Drosophila melanogaster: one gene and its partner. The protein of the gene in region 1 interacts with the protein of each later gene in a pairwise test. Each region holds a gene or a part of one and is shown in the gene's direction. Other genes may lie near its edges.

Region 1 (5,737 bases):
CTGCAATTCATTGGTTGCTATAAACACAGTGTTATCTAATTGCATATGGTTTTTAGGGGGAAAATAAGCAGAACTATCTGCAAAGGGTCCTAAGTGGTGCAAGCATTACCACATATAGTATATATAATATATATAGTATAATAGAAAAACAATCAGTTTTATTATTAATTTATCCAATACATAAAAACCATATTCAGTTACCTGAATTCATTCAAAATACTCAAAAGCCTAAAAAGCCCGAATAACTTATGAATTAATAGCACACACACTCATTAAATAGTAGAGATACAAAGTCCAAAACTATTTCAAGGGCTGGCCATTAGAGTAGGCAAAAGTATCACTTAGCGTCATTAAATCACCGGATACGAGTGAATGAAGGCATTAAAAGACTCATTCAGAGATGCCAGATGAATACTGAATATAATCCGATCGATGGATACCTGCCGATCGCGTATTTGTGCCCCTTTATCGCGATTCGCGATTCGATTCATGGCCGATGTTTATTATAATGTAACCAAAATGAAAAGCAGCCGCCATTTGCCAGTCACGAAAAAATTATGCATAATTTATGACTGGCTGTAGTGGACCCCTCTCGCCACCTCTCGCTCACTCACCTTGATATGTAGCTTCGTCCCGCTCGCACTTGCAAGAATTTATTATTTTTGCTAGATTTGTGTTTTTTTTTTATTTTATGTTTCGCATATTATAAATGCGCAAGGCAATAACAAAAATAATCATAAACACATACACGGAATCACCCACACAGAGGCAAAAAACCGAGGCTGACCAGTCTGAAACGATAGTGCCCCGCCCTCCGCCCCTTCGGCCACTCGGCACCCCCCCAAATGCCCATCACCACTACTCATGAAGAGAGCGAGAAAAACTAGTGGAAAACTGCAGGTGCAGCTGAAAGAAAGAGAAACGTCTCTTAGGCGAAAAGCGCCAGCCAACTCTCTCGCGAAAGAGAGAGAGCCAATTCGCCGCACATCTTGATTTCGCCTAAGCATTTGTTTACAATGCACGACTGGCAGCGACGTCGACTGCGAAGAGAGTTTTTCGTGATGGTTTTTCGAAGGGGGGGCTGTGTGGGGTACACCTCGAACGGAACTAATTAATGAAGCATCTTTCAGCCGAGTTTTGTTTCTCAGTCGGATGAGGTGGAATGCGTGAGGGAGAAAGAGTAATGGCTTGGGAAGAATAGAAAGAGAGAGGAATGTGCTTCGAAAGACCTAATGATCACTAATCTGCACTTCTCGCAAAATGCTCATACTACAAATGTTACAAGCAATTCATACATATGAATATCGATTTCCAATATTCTAAAAATAATTAAAATATTTTATTTAATAATTTTCAATTTTTTCAATTTTTTCACTTAAATTTAAGCTTTTAAAAGAACCCTAATAAGATATATAATATCCATCACCTAAATAATCGGCAAACTCAGCACTATTTTCGCCGCATTCCCAATTCCTGAAGACCACCTAGATGTGTTCCTCTATTTTGTGCCAGGGGTACTGGTCGATGGGGCTCGTCCACACCCTCTCCTGCCAAGCACCTCCGAAAAATATTAGGCCTAAGCTCGAATCCGCACTCGCACTCGCACTCACAATCGCAATCGCAATCGCAATCGCCGTCGCTCTCCGCTGCATTTTCGGGGCAACTTCCGTTTCCTCACGCACGCACACTTGCCACTTGCCACTTGCAGCGACGCATCCTTTTTACGCAACGGTAGTTGTGCGGCGGCAAAGCGCCAAAATTTTGGGGGTTGCAACGGCGAGAGGCCGAGAACGAGGACGAGGACGAGTTCGAGTGCGTCGAGCAGGCCGACGAAGGACGAAGGACGAAGGACGAGCGAAGCCGATTCCGATGTTGAGCTCGAGGAGAGCCAAAACGCAGCGCAGGAGCAAAGGAATGCGGTGCCGTTAGCCGGCGTTTTTTGGCGCCTACAGCTCGCCGTTTTCAGCCATTTTCAACGGGCTCGCCGCTGCTTCGGTCGTTGTCTCTGCCGTCGGTTCTCAGCCAAGCGGCGCTGCCTACGTCGCATTTTCCTTTCGCAGCGCCGGCAGAGCAGTTCGCGAACTATTCGCAACTTCGTCGCGAACTCAGTCGCAGCCTGAGAGCAACAACTACAAAGCAGTAGCAGTAGCAGTTGCTGCTGATGTTGCTGTTGCTGCCGCTTCTGCTGTTGCCGTTGCCGTTGCTGCAACATCAACGTTGCCCCTCAGCTTTCCACAGGCACAGGCACAGGCACTGCCACAGCCACAGCCACAGCCGCACATCCACATCCACATCCACGTCGTCGTGGGCCATCGTCGTCGTCGTGTGTTAAGTTTGTTTTGAGTTTTTCCGTATCAAAATGTGCAAAACGATTTCAGTCTAATTCAGACGCTCGTGCTGAGAAGACTTTTGGCCCTGTTTGTTGGCCAATACAGCCATAGAACACTGAAACCGAAACAGAAACAGAAACGGAACTGAAAGCACACACTGAATAACACTGGACACGACGACGAGAACCGAATCGAACTGAAAGAACGAGGCGGCGGGCTAATTGCCAAATGGCCACGTAGTGCGCGTAACGTAACGAATACGTTAAACACCCATACACACACGCCCAGACACACACACACACACACACACACACAGAGAGACAGAGGCACGCACACAGATACGCACATGTACATGCCCACTCTCAGTTGAGCGTCGTAATTGTCGCGGATTCTTTTGAATGCTTATTCCTTAAACGCTATGTGAAGAGCGAATCGCGTAACGAATAACGATCGCGTAACGTTTACGATCGCCGGTGATCCAACGATCAACGATCAACGATCAGCTGCAGACAAAATGGCGTCGGCGCAGGCGGAGACGAATGTCGGCTTGGCGTCCGAACAGGGACCAGTGGCTCAGAGGCAGCGCAAAGGGACGGGATCGGGCGCCGATTCGCCCAAGAGTAACAGAAGCTCGCCCACTCAGCAGGAGGAGAAGCGTATCAAAAGCGAGGATCGCACTTCACCAACTGGCGGGGCCAAGGACGAGGACAAGGAGAGTCAAGGTCATGCTGTAGCCGGAGGGGGAGGATCTTCGCCCGTCAGTTCGCCACAGGGCAGGAGTTCTTCGGTAGCCTCGCCCAGTTCCAGCTCCCAGCAATTCTGCCTGCGCTGGAACAACTATCAGACGAACCTGACCACCATCTTTGACCAGCTGCTCCAGAACGAGTGCTTCGTGGACGTGACCTTGGCATGCGATGGTCGGTCCATGAAGGCCCACAAGATGGTCCTGTCCGCCTGCTCGCCCTACTTCCAAACACTTCTGGCCGAAACGCCCTGCCAGCATCCCATTGTGATCATGCGGGACGTAAATTGGTCGGATCTCAAGGCCATTGTGGAGTTCATGTATCGCGGCGAGATCAACGTGAGCCAGGACCAGATAGGTCCTCTGCTCAGGATAGCTGAGATGTTGAAAGTGCGTGGTCTGGCGGATGTGACCCATATGGAGGCGGCCACGGCAGCAGCGGCTGCCGCTTCGTCGGAGAGAATGCCCTCCTCGCCCAAGGAGAGCACTTCAACTTCCAGAACTGAACACGACAGGGAACGGGAGGCCGAGGAGCTGCTGGCCTTCATGCAGCCCGAGAAGAAGCTACGCACTTCGGACTGGGATCCCGCTGAGCTGAGGCTCTCCCCACTGGAGCGGCAGCAGGGCAGGAATGTAAGAAAGCGCCGGTGGCCATCGGCGGACACAATATTCAATCCACCCGCACCACCCAGTCCACTGAGCAGCCTGATTGCGGCCGAAAGGATGGAGCTGGAGCAAAAGGAAAGAGAGAGACAGAGGGACTGTTCGCTGATGACACCCCCACCCAAACCACCAATGAGCAGTGGCTCCACAGTGGGAGCCACGAGGCGCCTGGAGACCGCCATCCACGCCCTGGACATGCCATCGCCGGCTGCCACGCCAGGACCTCTGTCCCGATCGTCGAGACCTCACTCGCAGAGCCCCCAGCAGCAGCAGGCACAGCAGCAGGGTCAGCTTCCTTTGCCCCTGCCCCTGCATCCGCACCATCACGCATCACCCGCCCCACATCCCTCCCAGACCGCCGGATCAGCCCACCACCCGGCATCGCCTGCTGGAGATTCCCGTTTTCCCCTCGGCCCAGCAGCCGCCATGGCCGCTGCCAGGGAACTGAGTGGCCTGGGACCAGGTCCGTCCGCCGAGCCACGCCTTCCGCCTCCACCGCCGCACCACCATGGCGGTGGTGGAGTGGGCGGCGGGGGAGTTGGAGGAGGAGGTGCAGGCGGAGTGGGTTCAGGCGGGGGATCCTCGCTCGCCGATGACTTGGAGATCAAGCCAGGGATCGCCGAGATGATCCGAGAGGAAGAAAGGGTGAGTGAATCTAAGCAACTTAAATTTCACGTTTATCTTTGTATTTCATCTTCCTTAAAGATAACTTTCGTACTTTTGTTTTCAATTATTCATATGTTGTGAATCGTTTTCTAAGTTAGTACATATGCCAGTTAAGAGAAGACTCTTCAATTCTGCAATTCCAATTCTACAAAAAGAGAGGCAGAGAGAGAGAGAGAGAGAAGCGCGCGGTGGAGCTCTCTTCTGCTGCTGCAGCGCTGTCACTGCGCTGTCGCAGCGCTGCTTCCGTCTATATCTCTCTCCCATTCATTATCCGATCTTTTGCCTCGGTTTGTTTTGATTCACGATTCGCGCGCCTTTCGGCGATCTTCAATCTTCGGCTGCGAATTCTGCCGGCGGCATTTCGCCTCGTGTCGTGACGTCACAGCGCGGAATGCGGAGCTACGGTCGCAGCGCTCTGTGGAACTCCCCACCCCACCGCCAGAGTGGCCATTGCCCGGAATGATTGACAGCATTCACGTGCTCCACGTTCCACGTTCCATTGTTTGCTCTCCTCGGCCGCTCTTTCTTCCCGCAGAGATTTGCTCCACATAGTATTTAGTACCCCTTCTCAGGTCAGATCCACCGATTCTTGGGTTCTCGGGGAGCAGGCACCGGAACGCTTCGGTGACCAAGAGGTGATTGAAATTCCTGTGGCCTGCGGTTGATTTCGATCTATGGAGCATTTTGTGACTTGTTGTGGTTCCCTAAGTGTGCTTCAATTAGGGCAACGACGGAATGGGTCTGCACAGAAAATATCTGGGGCTAAAATCGATAGATTCATTATTTGGATTTTTTATGTATTTTTCTCTTTCTGAGATTGAATCATTATGATTGCATAAAAATATATTTTAAATTTTGAAATGCTGATATTGAAAATTAAAAAAAAAATATTAAATATTGATCTTAAGATGCGCTTGCAATATACATATGAAGATATCTATAGTCCTAATGCGGCTTTGCTTCATAATTATATTTCAATAAGTTCACTCCAAACATTGTATCTGAATATTTACGACTATTAAAGTAAGCTGGTAGTTTTTGTCAGCTTAGCTTAGCGACCGGTTCGATTTGGACTGCGACTGCATTAGCACCGAGCTCACCGCAGAATTCGCACTTTAATAAAAATTTGTATTTATTTATCCAATAGACGTCGACGACGTTCACTCAAGAGCCCAGATCTCTGGCGATGGAGCTCCATTCACCATTCAGAGTCACATGCATTCGATGAGGAGTTGCCCGGTCCGGGATCAATCGGAATGCGATATTTGTTTGTCTGGGCGCAGAAGAGATCCCAGTGCGACTCCTTTTCTGGCCGGTTCTTGGCCATGTTCCATGT
Region 2 (7,836 bases), about 12 Mb from region 1:
CACCATGTCATTTAAACTATCTTTGCATTGTCTGCTGATCCTGGCAGGATATCTCACTTCAATTGAAGCCGAAGTTTTCCCGCAGTGCGCAAATGCTCCATTGGATACCTTTGTCATGGCCATCGAAGATTGCGCTTCATACATCTATTGCAATGGAGAAGACTCCTTCCGAGACAGCTGCCCCGAGTCCACCTACTTTGACGATCGAACCCAAGAGTGTGCCTTTGATGATGAGGGTGTGTGTCTAAGGAACTCAGACTCAGTCCAGACTGAGGAGCAGCCCGATAAGCAAACTACTGGTGAGGAGCAGAGCGGGATCGAAGAAACCACTCCCGTTCCAACACCGCCTTCTGATTACGCCTCTACAGGATCTGCGGACTCTTCTACTTTCCAAGCTGATTCTACAACAACCCCTACAGAATCAATTCCTTCAGTGACTGAGCCACCGACTACATCTGCTACGCCATCCTCCCCATCTGCAAAGCCTTCCTCTCCAGCTCAGGAAAGGCCGCACTGCGACATTTCCGGAGATGGTGACCATCCTCATCCCCAGCGGTGCGAGTACTACTACAGGTGCCTCAGCGGCTATCTGACCATTGTGAGATGTCCTTACAAGTATGGCTGGGACTTTCCTACAAAGCAATGCAAGCCTAGCAGCGAGGCTCAGTGCTTTAGTTATAGCTACTAGATTTATCTTTAGAAGCTCAACTTTGATCTAAATAAATTAGATTAGATTAGGCGATCTGTAGGTTGATTTCAAATCATTTTATTAACTTTTATACATTTATTTATATGTTCTTAAGATGAGGCTTTAACTTTGATCATAATCAAAAATAAATGAATAATTTCCTGTATGCACTTTATTTTTCTTTCTTAGAGTGTACATAGCAATCACGTGTGCATTTGCATTGTCAGTCAACTAGATAGTTGTTAGTGGTACTTTGACATTTAACGTACGTTTTATGTAAGGAATTATCCTTGAGTGAAGGGCTTATATACACATTGAGCTATTTACAGCCTCCAAGCTACGCGGCTGCTAACCCAAATCGAGGTGCGCACAGATGACAATAATAAATAAGTATTTGTGGCATTTTAATGAATTGAAAAGTGCATAATGAAGGTGCTGGGTGCCCGATGACCAACGGCGTCTCCATCTGGCGGTTCCATTTGTATTTGTCAGGCATAATTCACAAATCCAACGCGCAGGTATATGAATTTATTTTCGGCGGGCAATTTTCAAACGGCGGCAACTGCTGTCGCCGCTTCCACATTTTATTGCAAATTAATAATGCACACGATCCCGCAACAGTAGCAGCCGCCGCTGCACCAACAAATTCCTCCGCCTGTCGGCCAGTCGTGTCAATTGTGTCTAGTGGCGGAGTGGTCGCAGTTCCTGATTATGATGATGATGATGATGATGCCCTCATGATGATTTGCCACTGGCAAATGTTTTGATTAACTAACTGCGGGGCAGCCAATTAATTTTTGGCCAAGAGGCTTCACACTGATCGCGAGTACAAAACCGCTGAGATTTCTCTTCGCTGCGCCGATGCGGCCTGCTCATTAATTAAAGAACATGGAATCGGGCGACAAACGGATCCGCCCGACATGCTGAGAGCCAAATTCGAATCCGCTAAACAAATGGCAACAGCAGCAGCAACAACATTTGGGCCAACAGCAACACCAACAAGCAACAGCAGCAGCTACAACACCAACAACAGCAACACAAGATAGAGGAAAATTGTCAAGAGATGGACATTCGAAAAATAGAAAATCTCCAACTAAACCGAAAGAATTGAAACATTTTCGGATTTTTTCATTTCAGATGCGAGCAGCAAACGGTTAACAAAGGTGCACGCTTGTCCCGTCGCGAAAATCGCGAAAGGGAAAATTCGTAACGGACGCGGGGAAAATGGCATTAGCAAAATATGTGTGAAAAGCTAGAAAAAGAGAAAAATAAATAAAACAAAAATGTGAAGGATTCGTTTAACGAGAACCCAGTGATAAACATAGAACCGAGTGATTAAATTATTCAAGTAAATTGTGTAATGTCGCTGCGAGCACAAAAGGAGATCTTCAATGTGAAAGATAGATAAAAAACAAACTGCGTGTCATAAAAACACTACATAAAATAACATGAGTTGAGGGAAAATATTCAATTTGATGATCGCCACGAGCATCCCATTAGCATAAAAGAAGTCAATTCGAGATCCTCAACCATAAGGGTTAGCCATAGAGCTCTATTATTAGACTTCCCCAGGGGCAGATATGCTGGGCCACTGGATTATGCGTGATTCACATATACCGCTGATCGTGCGAATTCTATATTGAAATTCAAATACCTCTCGGAAAAAAACAGCGTTGACATCAAATTTATGTGCGCCACATTTCATGGAACAAATGAAAGTTAAACAACAATAACAAAGGCAACGCAGCGAAGGCTTAAGCATGATTTCATTTTCTATCCACTTCCCTCGACATTCTCAACGAGGCGTATGAGTGATTATGTGTAAAATATTACGCATCAACGAAATAGCTTCGAAATGAACCAAAGCTAAAGGCAAAGCCAAATCCAAATCGAAATGAAAACGATTGCGAGGTGCTTTGGAATGAATTGCCATGGATGACAAAAGGCAGGCACTTGGACAACAAATCAAAATAGACAGCATGGCGAGAGCGTTTAGCACAGATCTTTATTTTTTGGATGGCTATTTAAAACAACAGCCAGAGGACGGTACAGGAGAAGGAGGTGCCGAGCTGAAAGGCTGAAAAACTAATTTCGGAAAATCAAGTAAAAACTGAGCGAAATACCAAAGAGTTACGGAAAAGAAGGCTGCCTGACTGTCACGACAACACTTTCTTGTGTGAACGAGCGCCAAAAAGGCCGCGCCGCTCCTCCTCCGACCCTCCATCTCGAGTCGCCATCCACCCCAATCCCCATCCCTCCAATCCCATAGCCAGGCATCCATTGTACCCCATCAGGCATGGCATGGCAAGGCAACCTCCACCATCCATCGTCTCTCAATAGAGAAATGCTTAGATGCGATTCTCAGTCCCATGTGCACACATAATGGAATGAAGAAAATTCCGTCGTCCAACAATTGCACGCTGGGCTAGCTAAAGTGCAAAGAAAACCAAAAGACTCGGACTTGTCACTTCGCTGCGGATTTGCATTGGCCGGGCTGCCTGTTTTTGGGGGGCCTCCAATGGTCGTCGGTGCAGCAGCAGCAGCAGCAGCATAGACCGAGAAATCCCCAAAATCCCCCACATACCGACATACCCACCCCAGCTTCCTTGGACTAGCTTCTTATAAATAGCCCTCGGACAAAAGTGTGAACCGCCCGCCCGCCCAGTGCATCACATGCGATCCGAACAATGGAAATTGCCAAATTTATAGTGTACCCAGAAACCCACAGTGGCACTGCGATCAGATCGCCCAGGCCAGGCCAGCCAAGGAAAACTTATTTTATTTAAATAAATTTGGTTTAATTGCCAGCAAAGAACACAAATAACACTGGCCGTGTCTGTGCGTCTGTGTGTGTGCTGTTTTATTGTAATTCCGATTCGTCAACTGGGCACTCACCGAAACGGCCGAGTAAATCAGCCCGTTGACTTGGTCATCAAAACATAGAGGAGTACTCGACAATCCGGATACCTTGGAGGAGCTGGCAGCAATCTAAAGATGGATCAGGCTGTCATTAAATCAAATTATGCCGTTTCCCGGTCCCCAATGACAAACAACCTCCGCGACCCGCAAGATTGCGCATAACGGGGCGTATGAGTAATAAGCCAACTGCTACGACATAATACGTATACGCCTCGTGGTGCAGACGCTCTTCTAGGCGGCCAAGAAGAGCGGACACGAAAAGTGTGTGTGACAAAACGTTCAATAAATAAACAAACCGAAATGCAAACAAACAAATTATGAGAAACGAAAACAAAGAAGCCAAGTGGGCTGGGGCAAGGCGAATAGAATTTGTTTACCTCTCCGACATCCGACATCTTGCACATTCACTAATTGCATTTACCCCCTTACTTCCATTGCAGCTGGTCCATGTGATCCAAACCCAAATGAATTATGGAACATGTAAATAGCACTAATGCCAGACAACCGCAGCATCATCATTTTGATCAGCAGCTGCAGCACAATGACAGCCAACAGCAATTCTGCCTGCGATGGCATAACCATCAGGTGAGATCCTCCAGATAAAATTCATTTGAATTTTCATTTGTGGGGGGACTATATTCAACATTACCTCATAAGTAAGATCCATTAGAATGGACTGGACATCGTTCAGTGAAGCGAGCAGGCCGAAAGTAAAATGTCGCCGCATCTATATATAGGATCCATCTATCCAAACACATTCCCCTATACGTACAGATTCACACATAGTTTTCCGCATTTTCATATAGTGACAATTTTTGTGTTTCGGCCCAAAGGGTGTAATGCGGTGAAAGCGGGGCAGCGGTGAAACTGGCTGTCCAAAATAGCAAAACAGCCAAATGGACAAAGAGTAGTGAGGAGGAGTGTTCAGTGTGTGTGTCACATAAATGAACAGATTCGTGCAATTGCCAAAATCCAAAGAATTTCCACAGCGAGTAAATCGAAAAGTTGGAAAGCAGCTGCAGCCAACCCCTGTCCCCTGTTACACCGCAGACAGAGGAGCATCATGGGGCCCAGGAAATTGTATTTTTATGATCGTGTGACCCACTTATGAGCACTTTTCACATCCCCAACCCCATTCCCTCTGATCCCTTCCAGACAAGTTTGCTGAGCACTCTGCCCATTCTGCTGGACCAATCCCATCTGACGGATGTGACCATTTCGGCCGAGGGACGCCAACTGAGGGCCCATCGCGTGGTACTGAGTGCCTGCAGCAGCTTTTTTATGGACATCTTCCGGGCTCTAGAGGCCAGTAACCATCCAGTCATCATCATACCAGGGGCCAGCTTCGGCGCCATCGTCTCACTGCTCACCTTCATGTACTCCGGAGAGGTGAATGTATACGAGGAGCAGATACCGATGCTGCTCAACCTGGCCGAGACACTGGGCATCAAGGGACTGGCCGATGTCCAGAACAACAATGTGAGTAGCTCAAGTGCAAGATCTAGTTAGATAATTTAAATAAACTTGTAGTTTTTCCCTGAAACTCATACGCCTTTCTCTTTGGTCTCATAAATCCAAGCAGTTACCAAAAACAGCGAGAAGTGGAGGTGGCTCCTACATGGATACGACGAATGAGAAGTCCTCTGAGTTTGAACGTCCCACCACACCCTCGCCCACGCCCACCCCCACCCTTACGCCCTCCCACACGCCTACCCCAAGCCATTCACTCCCCCTGCCCCAGCTACCAAGTGCAGCACTTAACACCCCTCTCCTGGCCAACAAACTGGGATCGGTGAACTCCAGTGGAATGGGCACCACGCCCCTGGAGAATCTCTTTAAATCACTGCAGTTCTACCCCAGTCTGCTGCCCCAACCACTCAACTTCTCGCAGACGGCGCTCAACAAGACCACTGAGCTGTTGGCCAAGTATCAGCAGCAATGTCAGCTCTACCAGAGCGGGATGCAGGAGGATCAACTGGAGACGGACTGTTTTGGCTCCAAGAGGCTAAAGGGCGACAGTCCGCCGAAGGAGCTTAGGCGACTGGAAAAAAGCCTTTTAAAGAATCCAAAATCCTCATCGACGACCAACAGTAGCAGTAGCAAGTCGCCTCAGGAATGCTCCAACCCGAATCCCATTGTGGCCACTTCACCAGTAACTCTCGCTCCCCCGACCATGGCACACTTCTCCCCTCAGTTGCCGGTGGTCAAGTGCTCCTCGGCTAGTTACCCCAGCGCTCTCGGCCAAGGTCAACTCTATAGTAGCAAGCCACCACTTTATAGTGCAGCAGTCACGCCGACTGCCGCCCAGCAGGCGGCGCAGATGCACCACCACCCGCAACCCGGGCCATCGCCCTACATCTCGGCCGAGGATCATGCCAAGCTGCAGCTCCACATCGAACAGTATCAGCGGGAGGCGGCAGCAGCAGCGGCAGCGGCCGCCGGCGGAATGGCGCTGGTCAGCGCCAAGTCGGAGCCCAATCTGCTCTCGCTGAGCGCCGACCGCGACAAGTCGCTGGCCACCGCTCCCATCAAGCCGCCGTCCAACTCGAAGCTCTATGCCACCTGTTTCATCTGCCACAAGCAGCTGAGCAACCAATACAACCTGCGCGTCCACCTCGAAACCCATCAGAATGTTCGGTAAGTGGTCTGAATTTTAATTGTTATAAAACAATAGAAGTCACCTTTGGAATTACTTTTCGATTCCATCAGGTATGCCTGCAATGTCTGCTCCCATGTGTCCCGCAGCAAGGATGCCCTGCGCAAGCACGTTAGCTACCGACATCCTGGGGCGCCATCGCCATGTGAAAACGAGGCTCGCCGGAAGAGGGTCTCCAAGCTAGCAGCGACCACTGTGCCCACTTCCACGCCCATGTCCATGAGCGCCAGTCACACGGTCACCAGTGGCGATGTGGGTCCAGCTCCAGCGACCACACTTGGATGTTCGGGTCAGGAGGCAAGGAATCCGTACCTTTTCCTGCCCAATCAATTTCAGATGGCTGCTGCTGCAGCAGCCGTAGCAGTGGCCGAATCCTCGCCAGCTTCTGGTCAACCATCGCTAGACTTGGCACACGAAGCGCCACCGAGCATCAAAAGTGAGCGGGAGCCACCGACGGCGAGCAACGGAGAGGCGACCGGTGTAGAGGCATCGGCGTCAACCACCTGAGGATAATTTTTTTGAATATTTTTGATTTGTTCAACTCACCACACAAACACGCACACAGACACAAGGAGTACGCCCACCCATGCACACGCATATTGTTGGGTGACCGATGAGTGGTGGAAGGAAAGGGCTGATCCCTGACTCCAATTGTAAATCCGCTCAAGGGTGGTGGAATCTATTTCAATTTCAATGTTTCCGAACTTCGAATCCAATTTCAAAAATATTTAATCAGCAAGCGTAATCAAGCTTAATAATATCATTTTGAAAACACTTGCAAAACCATTTAAATTTGCATATTCAAAATGTTTTTTTGTATTGAAAGTATATTTAAAATATCTCAAGTTCAAACTTTGATTTTTGTAAGAAAGATTACGCTCTTCGTTATTTTTTGACATCTAGCCCCATTATTTTACCACTAAGTATGATCGGATTTTTTAACAATGTCAGAGGAGCCAATTTTCATCACCCACTCATGAGGTGCCCAACATATGAATATGTCAACTTTTAGTCCCACCGAAACCAACGTCTTAGACCCGGCTGTGATAATTAGCGCAATTCGTTTTTCGTCTTCTGCACTCGAGCGCCTTTCTAGCTATCTTAATTTATGTACTTACGTTTAGCACAATTTACGTTTATTTTTTCTGAAACTTTAGCAACCTCCGAGGCTCTCAAACTGCAAGTTACAAACACAATCCTTTCGCTTTCACGCTCTCTCACAAGCACACGTCCACACATTCTAGTAATCTAAGCCAAGTTTTTATAAATATTGTAATTATACACCTGAACACGCACACACACTTGCACACAAAAAGACAGGGTGAAGACCTACCAAACCAAAAAAAAAAAAAAACACAATTTTCAAAGGAATAAATGTTTAAGAAGCCAAAGAAATTGTGCGTGTTTAGCTAATTTTCCCGATCGCAACCAAATGGAGAAAAGTAATCGGCGAGCTATGCAAAAACTAGTATATTTCATTTCATAATACAATAATTTATGTACGCTGGCGTACTTTACATATCTTTGTGTTTCCTTTCGTAGTTCGTAGTTCCAGTAGTATAAAAATTGTTCG

The links. Proteins that work in one complex are often made in the same cells at the same time.
Region 2: the proteins of bab1 (region 1) and CG32121 interact in a two-hybrid assay, tested with the Drosophila melanogaster proteins (one study listed by BioGRID).

What each region holds. Positions count from the first base shown.
Region 1 is NT_037436.4:1,097,744-1,103,480, reverse strand, and holds the start of bab1 (bric a brac 1), read left to right. Parts: upstream 1-2,391; 5' UTR 2,392-2,844; coding exon 2,845-4,380; intron 4,381-5,737. UniProt on the Drosophila melanogaster protein: Probably acts as a transcriptional regulator. Required for the specification of the tarsal segment. Also involved in antenna development.
Region 2 is NT_037436.4:13,416,337-13,424,172, reverse strand, and holds CG32121 (uncharacterized protein), read left to right. Parts: upstream 1-1,836; 5' UTR 1,837-1,851; intron 1,852-4,047; 5' UTR 4,048-4,078; coding exon 4,079-4,192; intron 4,193-4,762; coding exon 4,763-5,086; intron 5,087-5,189; coding exon 5,190-6,244; intron 6,245-6,316; coding exon 6,317-6,770; 3' UTR 6,771-7,597; downstream 7,598-7,836. Other genes in the region: CG33263 (uncharacterized protein), read left to right, coding at 5-688.